Linked DNA regions of Drosophila melanogaster. The protein of the gene in region 1 interacts with the protein of each later gene in a pairwise test. Each region holds a gene or a part of one and is shown in the gene's direction. Other genes may lie near its edges. The genes, in order: CCT2 and BOD1.

Region 1 (5,941 bases):
ACCCACTGATTACCCAGTATAAACTTTTATCTCAATTACTTTAGGTTTCAAGACAAAGAAGAACATGCGTAAGGGCTGGGTGGAGTTCATTTCGAAAAGTGGGGCCAAAAAAATCGCTCTAGAGCTGAACAATAAGCCTATAACCGATGGCAAGTCGTCCCGATTCCGTGGCTTGCTGTGGAAAATGAAGTTCCTGCCACGCTTCAAGTGGTACTATCTAACCGATCGCATGGACTACGAGCTGGCGGTTTGCAAAGTTCGCGTATGGTCGCAGGCCCGCAAGCGGGCCACCTTCTTGTACGATCCCGACCAGATGGAGTATTTCAAGAAGCAAGTGAAGAAGATGAAGAAGGTCAAGAAAGCGGAGATGGCTACCAGGAATGCGGAGATGGCTGCCAAGAAAGCGGAGATGGCTGCCAAGAAATTGAAGAAGTCTGCCTGAGTTCACGCTAGACCTTTGCTTCCAATGTCTACCTGACTGCAAATATACTTCAATTAAGTAAATCAAATCAAAATCTTTAAATAATTAGGCGCGCAAAATTATTTGAAATTAGGGCCCCTGCATATCGATAATTTCGCCGATTGTGTGTGCGTGTTAATGCTACTTCAGCTACTCAAGCTGAAGGAGGCCACTGTAACGCACAGGGATGGTTAAGATTTCTCGATTAAAATAGGGCTGAGTAAATCAAATGTTCTGTTACAAAGTGTTTTTAAAGCGATATGCTTTTCTAATGAAAGGGTACCAACACATCGATAGCTCTTCGATAAAAACGTCAACTGACATCGCCTGTCAACTGTCATACCTGATTGCGTACATTACAAAATATATTCGATCCAGCTAAAACGAAAGCTACAATGAAAAAAATAATTAATACATCAAAGCCAAAGCGCAAGTCCACTTCCATGAAAGTGGAGGAGACTAAGCTAGACGAGGCGCGCTGGGGTAAGCCGCAGACAAAGGAAGGTGAGTCTGCAAATGGGATAGCAAATCCCTCAAATGACGATAAAAAGGAGCTGGCCAATTTCAAAGCCACCTTCAATTCCTGGGCCCCCGAGAAGAAACGCGAGAAGATGCACAAGGTAGGCGTCATCTTAATATCCAACATACCCAAGGACATGGACGGGGACTGCCTGAAGGAAATCATGAACTTGCACAGCGTCGTCGGCAGAGTTTACGTGCAGCCGGAAACGCTGTCAAGTGAGTGGACCAAGTGGCATGCACAAATGACCCACTGATTACCCAGTATAAACTTTTATCTCAATTACTTTAGGTTTCAAGACAAAGAAGAACATGCGTAAGGGCTGGGTGGAGTTCATTTCGAAAAGTGGGGCCAAAAAAATCGCTCTAGAGCTGAACAATAAGCCTATAACCGATGGCAAGTCGTCCCGATTCCGTGGCTTGCTGTGGAAAATGAAGTTCCTGCCACGCTTCAAGTGGTACTATCTAACCGATCGCATGGACTACGAGCTGGCGGTTTGCAAAGTTCGCGTATGGTCGCAGGCCCGCAAGCGGGCCACCTTCTGGTACGATCCCGACCAGATGGAGTATTTCAAGAAGCAAGTGAAGAAGATGAAGAAGATGAAGAAGGTCAAGGAAGCGGAGATGGCTACCAGGAATGCGGAGATGGCTGCCAAGAAAGCGGAGATGGCTGCCAAGAAATTGAAGAAGTCTGCCTGAGTTCACGCTAGACCTTTGCTTCCAATGTCTACCTGACTGCAAATATACTTCAATAAAGTAAATCAAATCAAAATCTTTTAATATTTAGGCGCGCAAAATTATTTGAAATAAGCGCCCCTGCATTGCATATCGATAACTGCAAAACTTTCGAGTGCTGGTTTGTGTCAACACTATTTTTGGTATTTAAGTTCATGCAGGCGTTAGCACCTTTCCGTTGTCGGTATTTCTACCCGATAGCCGCGCGTTATCGATAACAGCCATCGACTGTCTCCATTTTCTTTGTCGCTTTGTTGCGCCCGTGTGGTATTTGAAAATTCTGTGATCACAAATCGACTAATTACGCAGAGAAAATGGTAAATTTAAAAGTAACAACTATATTATTCGAGTAGTTTACGGTGCGGGCTATTGGCGTTGCGTGAATTCGCCCACTTTTCATTGATAATTGTGGCCAATTCGGCGTTTTCATTTGCCGGGTGTGTGTGTGAACGAAGCGCAAGCCATTTTGACAGGCGGCTTGCACGTGAGCCATGGACTCCGATTTCGCCTGCCACTTCCAGAACCTTCTCCTGCTGTCCACGGGATCTGGGTGAATTGGAGCTATCACTAGATTGCTGGCCGGGATCGGCTCGGGCAGCTGGCTGAGAACCTTCGAGATGCATTCCACGCCGTTTTTGCTGCCGATGAATCACTCGGCGCCGCTCTCCCTCGTCCGCCACTTTTTGGGGTTAGGTCGAGGCGATATGGCTGCACAGAGCGAAAAACCATAACAATCTGACATAGAATACATATACATTTTGAATATTTTCGCATCACAAACGCATCTGGTTTGCAGTGACTGCGGATTTGGCCATGCCAACAGACAATCCTCGCCAGAAATTGCAACATATTGGGCAGCCGCCTGCCATTGTCAAGATAGCATTCTTGATCTGTCGATGAGAATATCATAATGGTGTTTTGCAATGTCATCTTGGCATCATATCACTTTTTCATTATGCTAAATTATTAAATGTTAAAAAAAAAATTTTATTTCGCAAAAAAAGCTATAATATAATTTCCTGCATGAATAGTAATTATGAATTAGCTTTACTTGCTTCTGATGATTAATCCTCCATAAGATCTACGCTAAAAAAAAGTCATGCCATTTTTGTAATTAAATTAAGTCTCAAGAAATGTGCCCTTCTTAGAAAATTTATACAATCAATCGAAATGATTCACACCAATTGATCGCGTTTTGTCTTGCAGGAGATGTCCTTGAATCCCGTGCGCGTGCTCAAGAATGAGGCGCAGGAGGAGAAGGCCGAGATGGCCCGTCTGTCCTCGTTCATTGGTGCCATCGCCATTGGTGATCTGGTAAAGAGCACGCTGGGTCCGAAGGGTATGGACAAGATCCTGGTGGCCACCGGACGCAACGCCGGTCATGTTGAGGTGACCAACGATGGTGCCACCATTCTGCGTGCCGTCGGTGTAGACAATCCGGCCGCCAAGATTCTGGTCGATATGTCGCGTGTGCAGGACGAGGAAGTGGGCGATGGCACCACCTCGGTCACCGTTCTGGCATCGGAACTGCTGCGCGAGGCGGAGAAACTAGTCGAACAGAAGCTGCACCCACAGATCATCGTCTCTGGCTGGCGTCAGGCCACCCAGGTGGCACTGGAGGCGCTCACCGCCGCCGCTCAGGACAACTCGTCCAGTGACGAGAAGTTCCGCAACGACCTGCTGAACATTGCCCGCACCACGCTCTCCTCGAAGATCCTGCACCAGCACAAAGACTTCTTCGCCAATCTGGCGGTGGATGCTGTGATGCGTCTGAAGGGCTCCGGCGAGCTCAAGTCCATACAGATCATCAAGAAATCGGGCGGCACACTGGGAGACTCGTTCCTGGACGAGGGCTTCCTGCTGGACAAGAAGCCCGGCGTGCACCAGCCACAGCGTGTAAGTAATGTTTCCAGTTCCATCGTGCTAAACATCGTCTACCTCTGCTGTCTATTAACGCGTCAAAATGACTGTGAGCTATGTGGATTTGACTTCATATCACAGCCATTTTGACGAGTTTGTTGGACAGCCAGCCTCATCAACGTGGAAATGTTGCGCGTGCAAGTGAGTCTTTCAAGACCAAGTAAAAGAATCTCATGATCTCATACATGGGTGCTCTTCTCCATCGCAGATTGAGAATGCCAGAATCCTGATTGCCAACACGCCCATGGACACCGATAAGATTAAGGTGTTCGGCAGCAGCATCAAGGTCGATTCGCTGGCCAAGATCGCCGACCTGGAGATGGCCGAGAAGGAGAAGATGAAGGAAAAGGTGGACAAGATCCTGAAGCACAAGTGCAACGTGTTCATCAACCGGCAATTGATCTACAACTATCCGGAGCAGCTGTTTGCCGATGCCCGTGTAATGTCCATCGAGCATGCCGATTTCGATGGCATCGAGCGTCTGGCGTATTGCACCGGCGGCGAGATTGTCTCCACCTTTGAGAATCCCTCGCTGGTGAAGCTTGGCGAATGCGATGTCATCGAACAGGTGATGATCGGCGAGGATACGCTGTTGCGTTTTAGCGGCGTTAAGCTGGGCGAGGCCTGCACCATCGTGATCCGCGGTGCTACCCAACAGATTCTGGACGAGGCTGATCGTTCCCTGCACGACGCCCTCTGCGTGCTGGCGGCCACCGTCAAGGAGTCGCGCATCATTTTCGGTGGCGGCTGCTCCGAGGCTCTAATGGCCACCGCCGTGCTGAAGAAGGCAGCCGAGACACCCGGCAAGGAGGCCATCGCTATCGAGGCCTTTGCCCGTAAGTCGCTGAAATCCACATCATATGCTGGAGATGGCTCCTAATGAAATGCTTTTATTATTCGTATTACAGGCGCTCTGCTGTCCCTGCCCACGGCCATTGCCGACAATGCTGGCTACGATTCAGCCCAACTGGTTTCGGAGCTGCGTGCCGGCCACGCCCAGGGCAAACAGACTCTGGGTCTGGACATGGAGCTGGGCAAGGTGGCCGATGTCCGTGAACTGGGCATCACCGAGTCGTTCGCCGTTAAGCGCCAAGTTCTGATGTCCGCCTCGGAGGCTGCCGAGATGATCTTGCGCGTGGACAACATCATCCGTTGCGCTCCACGCCGACGCGTTCCCGACAGGGGCTACTGCTAGGCGCTTAAGTATTCTTGTTCTAGGATCATATTTTTTTTAATTATGAACTCTCGTTTAACATCATCGCTAACCTTACACGTTCTGTTTACTACACTAATAATCCACACACAACACATTAGCAATTATATCACACGTCCCACTCTCAAAGTCGCACAATTTCTCGCTAAATTTGTCCCTGTCGTGTAATCCTTCTACTTAATTGTGAAACAAATTGATATGATGTTGCAAGCTGAGCTTTTGATTCGAGGATGAGTGCTGCGATCAAACCAAAACATTTCAAAAATGTCTAAAACTCCATCAAACCGACAACTAAACGAACTTGTAAATGAATACAATTGTTGTAAACATTTGATGTGCGCAAATTGAAGACCATTAAACAGAAAAAAAAAAGGAATAAATGATAAATCATATATTTATGCTTAACAAAACTAAACAAACTGCCTTCTTATTTGGACCACAATTATTTCCCGAATTTTTATGAGCTTTTTTTAAACATAACTTGGCTTAAAATGATCATAAAGCGAAAAGAGTAACATTTCTGAGCACTGGAGAACCAATGTTTTCGACCCACGCCACTTTTCAGCCGATTTGGGAAAATTAATTTTTTGGTCAAATTTCTCATTTTTTGTAAGGGGTAACATCATCAAAATTTACAAAAAATGGCCAAAAAATATAATTGCCATTTTTTAGCTCAGTTCGTTTGGAAATTTAATTACGAGCTCAACGAAGTATGACATTCCATATTCAGACAATTATTTTTAATTTTGTGGCAAAAAAACTGATTATTTGATGGCCGAAATTCGGAAAAACGGATTTTGCCAAAATGTTGATATTTTCAAACGGAATTTTCCTCATAACTTGGCTAAAAATGATCGTAAAAATGAAAGAATAACTGTTTTGAGCAGCTAGTTACCAATGCTAACGACCAATGTCACATTTTGAAGGATTTAGGAAAATTAATTTTTGTCCAAATTTTCGCATCTTTTGTAAATTCGCATCAAAATTTGCAAAAAATGGCCAAAAAATAGAATTTCCATTTTTGAACACAGTTTGATTGGAAATTTAATTACGAGCTCAACGAGGCATAACATTCCACATTTGGACCATTATTT
Region 2 (6,649 bases), on another chromosome or scaffold:
GAGGGTTACTTTCGCCTTCGGCACTCTTTTCATTTTGCGCTTTACGTGCTTGCGAACGATTGGCCGTATGCCCAGGTCCTCGGAGCCCGCCTCGAAACCGGTGCTGTTGGGCGAACTAGCGCCGTTTTTGATTAGCAGCTTCTCGATGGGGCTCATGTAGGTCTTGCTGAGCAGCTGATTAGCGCTATCATCTCCACCACCTCCTCCTCCTCCCCCGGGGGTCCTTGGTGACGCATTATCATGGGCCAGGGTCTCGCCAGCACTGCTGTTATTTAAAGCCGCCGCTTGGTTAACGCGTCGCCTCGTCGTGCGTATTGTGTCATCGGAATCGGAAAGCGGCGTGGGTGAGTTGGCATTGGCATAGCCAATATATTTGGGGCTCAGCGCCGACTGCAAGTTGATAAGATCTCGTTTCCCTAAAGCAGCACACACAGGCGCACACACAAAAGCAGATATATTAGCATATGGACGGCATACGGCGGGGTATATTGCGCCATTGTTACACTTACTGTTCACCATGGACACACGCTGTTGTTGCTGTTTTTGGACTGGCGTCTGCCGCTGACTCTCCAGCTCCGACTCCTCCGCCGCGGGCTGTGCGCCGTTCTGCACCGGGTTTTGGCCGGGCTTGTCCAGCAGTCGAACCGGAGTGCTGTTGTTGGTGTCCCTCGGAATTTCGACATCATCGCCTTCGGTGGCCACCGACTCGTCGTTGCCCGCAGCCACTTCGTCGGTGGCGGTCAGGGAATCGGACGCGGAGTTGCACAGCACATTGCCGTGGGCAGCGTCGCCCTCGATCTCGGAGTGCGCGTCCGTGCTCAGCTTCATTCTGCGGTCCAGTTTAATCGCGCTCTCGTCAATTAAACACTACCGTTAATTCGACAATTTCTAAGAACACAGAGGCTTCGCTTGCGCCAAAACTTCGACTGCAACCGTGGGCATCGCGGTAGCTATCGATCCATCGATACGATCGCTGAAAGATAGGCGTCACACATTCCTATCGATTATACTTAGCCAAGATTCGCACCGTAATGCACAGTGAGGCGAAGTGTTTTCTTTTACTTATAGTATAGTTATATAATTAATAATAATTTTTATAATAATTTTTGAACTAAATCATAAGCGCCGCGGGGTGTTCTTTTATTCGCTCTCAGGCACGTCATCCAATACAAATTTCTAACTACAGGTTTCTAAACCTTCTATATAAATTTTTTGAAAAGGTTCCTTAGCCACGACTGAGGTACTACACTGGCCAGGGGACTTCGTTACAGATTGTTTTTATAATAGTTATTCGGAGTTAACAGATACTGCCATGTATTGTTGTTTTCCAAAACTAAATATTTTAACTTTAACTCAATTCTTTCACCTTACCGAAAACAACGTGAATACCTGAATTTTACATTAATATGAACATTTAAGTTCTTAATGTATAGCTGATTAAATGCAACTTGGCTTTAAAGGTAAAAACTCGGTGGCACAAATATTTCTATACTTTATTATTCTTTCATTCATAACTCAAAAGTAAAAATGTATCTGTATCTGCAATTCGTCAAATTTGGCTAGTAAAACTGAGAAGTTGGCATAGCTACCGCTCACGCACGACGCCCGGATCCAATCAGGGCGAAACTCACGTGGGGCGGCCATCCCTAGCGTAAACATATGTACATACATGTAAACGCATGTAAAGACAAACTCGACGTTTATCCTGGATTTCCTCGGCACTCACGGGTGTTGCGGCAAGCAAAAGCACACGAATAACAAGGGCCAAGGAGCATGGACGACTTTATCAAGACACTGATTGCCGAGGTGAAGTCGCAGGGCGTCTTCGACGAATTCCGATTCAACTGCTGCCTGGCGGACGTGGACACGAAGCCCGCCTACCAGAATGTGCGCACCCAGGTGGAGACGGCGGTCAACGATTTTCTGGCCAAGCAGCAATGGACGCCCGAGACCAACAAGGTCCAGCTGCGAGAGAGGCTGCGCAAGCACCTTATGGAGTGAGTATGCTTCTGGCGGGGCTTGGGTAACCTGGGGTAATCACATCGACTGTTTCAGCTCCGATGTCCTGGACAAGGGAGTGGACCAAATCGTGGACCAGGTGGTCAATCCCAAGGTGGCTACCATATTCGAGCCAAAGATCGAGAGCATTGTCTACAAGTACCTGGGCATCACACCACCTGCGCGACCCACTATGCTGTCAGCTCCGCCTTTGCCGCCATTTGGTGCCCACTTGAACGGCAGCAGCCTGCTCAATGTGGAGACCACGGTTGGTCTGCTGCCCACGGACCTGGAGCAGATAAGTCCAGACTCCGATCGGGCTACCGTCAAGTCGGAGTCGAGGGATGACGAACTTCCGCCCGGTGTAGACGACGAGGACACTTCGCCATCCTACGAGCTAGTGAGCGAGCGGAAAACACTTGCCATCAAGGAGGAGCTGAACAACGTTTCGTTGAATAACTCGGATTCGGTGAACGGCGTCTCCCAGGCGTCGCAACTTTCGCAGGTTTCCAGTGACAGCCGCCTGACCATGGCGTCGTCCACGGAGTCCATGGTTGATAGCCACCAGCACACAGCAGCTCACAACAGTGGGGAGCCAGAGAACATTTGCGAGGAAGCGCAAATGCCAAAGTTCAGCGAAAACTCTTGGGATGCTAGTGCGGGAACAGGCCGAAGCGAAGGTCGACAGCTTCACTTCGACATCAAACAGGATGCCATTACCTTCGAAGGTGGGTTTGCCGGGCGCCACGATGGGTTATTTAACTTCTACGATTTCTTTTTCGTGCAGGTACTGAGCGAAAGAACTCGGTGTCGGAGACGACTAGCACAGGCCTCCAAATTCTTTCCATCGAGGATGAGATCATGTCGGAGGTGAAGGCAAACATAGACGACGCCAACAATGCCAGTATTGAGTCTATAGCACCGGAGCCTGTACAAGTGCCAGCACCGCCGAAAGTTAATCCGCCTCCTCCTCCGCGGCCAGCCTCGCCAAAAGTAGAGCCTCCTCCGCCGGCACCACCAGGAGTTGAGTCGCCGCCAGGGCCCCAACCACCAGCGTCACCTCGTTTTGATCCACCTCCACCACATACAATTGAGCCACCGCCACCACCAGCACCACCAACACTTGTGCCACCGCCACCACCAGCACCACCAACAATTAAGCCACCGCCACCCCCAGCACCACCTACAGTTGAGCCACCGCCACCACCACCACCAGCACCACCTACAGTTGAACCGCCGCCACCACCACCACCAGCACCAACTAAAGTTGAACCACCTCCTCCACCGGCACCAGCTGAAGTTGAACCACCTCCTCCACCGGCACCCACAGAACTTGAACCACCTCCTCCTCCAGCACCACCGAAAGTCGAGCTTCCTCCTCCGCCAGCCCCACCAAAAGCTGAGGCAGCTATAACGCCCCGAAGGGCGAAAGGTAGTAATGGATTCATCACAGAGCTGGCCGTGACACCCAAGGAGTCGGAAACTCGGGATAAACCACACAATGTAAACACGGATGTCAAAGAAGATGAGCAACCAGCAACAACTGAAGACAAGCAAGATAAACCCCTAGAGCTTGGATTGGATGCACCAAAAGACGCTGTTAGCACAGCGTCTGAGTCCACGGAGTCGCCAACATCCACGTCCTCGCAATCAAAAAGCCATTCGAAGTCTAGGGATAAGGAAAAGGAAAAGGATCGGCGACACCACAGGCACTCAGATGACAAACACCGGCGAAGGAGCACAGATCGGGACCGCGATCGTAGTCGCGACAAATCGCACAGCAAGCATTCCTCGAGTTCCAGCTCGAAGCACTCCTCATCGAACTCCTCCAGCTCGAAGCATAAGAGTAGTAGCTCCAAGAACGATAAGAGCTCCTCAAGTTCATCTAGCCGGAGTAATCGAGAGTCGTCGTCATCCAAGCGCTCGGGAACCACTTCTTCATCACGCCACGAATCTTCCTCACACAAAAAACACAAGTCCAGTTCATCATCCTCGCGATCGGAACGAGATAAAGGCAAGGAGAAGGATAAGGAAAGGGAAAAGGACAGCCAAAGTCGCAGCCACCACAGCAGTAGCAGTTCCTCGTCGTCGTCAAGGAGAAAAGATCACGACCGAGGCCGCGATCGTGATCGTAACAAATCAAACACTTCTGGCAGTGCAGAGAACAAGGCTATCCACGATGATCATAGCGAGAGCAAAGAAAAGTATAAGCAGCGTCGGGGTTCCGACTCAAACGACGAGGGGAAGCCTCCAAGTTCTGGTGGTCCGGCCAAGAACTCCCAGCCGGAGGATTCAGCAGCTACAATGAAATCAGATGCGCCCGTGGAGAATGCTAACGGCACGAATGGAAACTCCAACGGCAGCACCAATGGTGCTTGCGACAATGTCAGCGGTGTTGTCATCGTGAGCGACATCCTGCAGCAATCGACGAGCAGTTTTGTTGAACTGACCGCTGGATCCCAATCGCATGACAGAGCGGAGAGCAGTAAGCATGAACCCGAAGATATAGACGGAAAAGAGGCGGATAATCAGCCGGAAAAAACAGAATTGGAGGCAAGGCAAGACGAGTGTGCTTCGCAGAATGAAGTGCCAACTGTAGAACCTCAAACTTTAGCTGACTCCGTTCCCGATTTGCCAGCCAAGGAAAGCATGGATACATTGGAAGACGAAAAGGTAGAGACCAATGTCGAAGAGAATAAGTCAGAAGAGGAGAGCAAACCGGAAAATCCTCCCGAAGAGTGCGTCGACGAACCTGCTCAAGTCGGCGATGTGGAGGATCCACCGCAAGATGCTGACAAACCCGCCACACCAGTCCCAATCTCGAATGAGCAAAGCGACGAATTTAGTGCCGACTTTGTGACCCACTTCGAAGAAAACACAGACGAGTTTAGGACGCGTCTGCAGCTCATCAATCAACTGATAGAGGATCGAAAGAATTTGCTTAACAGGTTAAGTGAGGATGGAACACAGGAGGAGGCAGTGGATATACGTGCCTTGCGACGCAGCCTCTCCAAGCGAAGACGGAGCAGCATGCAGGAGCAGCATCGAGTGGAGCGGGAAACGACACCGCCGCAGCCTAGAAGTCCGAGCAGCAGCAGCACCGCCGGCAGTCCGGCAAAGAGACTGCGACAGGACGAGCCCAAGTCATCGCCAACACCATCTGACGCCAGCATAAACTCGAAGGAGAACGAGGCACTGGAGAAGCAGGAGCATGGTGCGTACTGTATCATTGCTAAGTTTCATTTGGTGTAGCATTTGTTCCTCGAATCTCTCTTTTGCTAACTCTCACAAAGGGTGGATCGATGCAATTGAATTGTCGTATGTCTTAACGTTTAGTGAAAATCAAGTAAAAATTGATAATAAAGTCTATAATTAACACAAATCGATCCACCCTGCGAATGTGATCTACATACATACATCTCTGTTCTCATGCTCATCCTCAATATTCTTCTTTACCGCCTCTATTTTCTCCCCCACACGCATCCGCATTGTTAACTAATATACATAATATGTAGCTGTATGAAGCCACCACTAGTAGTCCTAACCAAACCGCAATGGAGCTGGGTAAGCGGTTCCCGCGCGATTCTCTGTCCTTTGCCCGCCGATTGTTGATGCTTCGAGCGATTCCCGTGAATGCGTGTGACTAAAGTGCTTGTTTTTATCAGCAGACGCCCTGTCCGCCAGGCGACTCAGCAAGAAGCTCTGCCAGCAGCAGCGGTACACCAACGATGATCTCTACAAGCCCCGTCCAATCCTGTCGCAGCGCTCTCGTCGCCGGGGCCTGGACTCCATTCTCTAGCCAACGGATAACCTGTTATCGGAAACAATAAAAGGCAATTGTTGTTAATGCATTTGACATAAAACAAGTCTTCGTTTCTTTCATCCGTTTAATGGGCCATTTCGCTTGCCAATGGTTTTGCTTCCGCTTGTTTTTTTTTCGTTTGAATTCTTTAACAATAAAATTGTAATTTAGCGCTACACCTTACAGTTTAATAGTCGCCGGTGCAGCATATCCATATATATTATGCATATATATAAACAAAAATAACAGTGAACGTAATAATATGATGCATTATTGTATATTTTGGGCGATCCACTAGCCTTGATCCCCGGCACTCAACTGCGTCTGCTACTCAAGGATGTGGAACTCTAGCACTGAGACGAGGATAATGTGTGATGATAGATCGAAACAGTCGAGTGCGTGGAGCAAGGACAATGGACATAGCTAGGCTACGGCTCTCTACATGGGGCTGGTTAGTTATAGTACCGGGTGTAGATTATGGGGCATTGTAGGTCTGGGGGAGACGTAGTTCTCTGGGAGCTGTTTTCTGCTGTATCTGCTGTTCCTTATATTTTGTAACATCTCAGTTTGAAGATTTCGGCTGTAATTTGATTACAAATTATTGAATTTTTCCTTCTGCCGCGCGAGCGTGTGCTTTACATTTTTGCTCTTGATTACTTTACAACGATCAACATAAATATATGTATGTATATGCGTATATCATTTGAAAATTGTTTAAAAAAAATATATATATAATTGTTGTAAATCAAAGGTTGTAATACATAGGTAATAGTATTTTACAAGAAGGTTATCTCATTTCAAAGTAACATAGATACAGTATCATCATTAGCATATACTTTTAACAAGAAT

Evidence for each region.
Region 2: the proteins of CCT2 (region 1) and BOD1 interact in a two-hybrid assay, tested with the Drosophila melanogaster proteins (one large-scale study listed by BioGRID).

The regions. Positions count from the first base shown.
Region 1 is NC_004354.4:9,087,568-9,093,508, forward strand, and holds CCT2 (chaperonin containing TCP1 subunit 2), read left to right. Parts: upstream 1-1,945; 5' UTR 1,946-2,028; coding exon 2,029-2,031; intron 2,032-2,920; coding exon 2,921-3,610; intron 3,611-3,662; exon of another isoform or gene 3,663-3,732; intron 3,733-3,842; coding exon 3,843-4,470; intron 4,471-4,542; coding exon 4,543-4,829; 3' UTR 4,830-5,259; downstream 5,260-5,941. Other genes in the region: CG32706 (uncharacterized protein), read left to right, coding at 45-442; CG6999 (uncharacterized protein), read left to right, coding at 904-1,198, 1,272-1,678.
Region 2 is NT_033777.3:27,936,922-27,943,570, forward strand, and holds BOD1 (biorientation defective 1), read left to right. Parts: upstream 1-1,640; 5' UTR 1,641-1,773; coding exon 1,774-1,997; intron 1,998-2,055; coding exon 2,056-2,726; intron 2,727-2,785; coding exon 2,786-5,212; intron 5,213-5,513; coding exon of another isoform or gene 5,514-5,521; exon of another isoform or gene 5,522-5,663; coding exon 5,664-5,797; 3' UTR 5,798-5,857; downstream 5,858-6,649. Other genes in the region: NSD (nuclear receptor binding SET domain protein), read right to left, coding at 1-416, 510-828.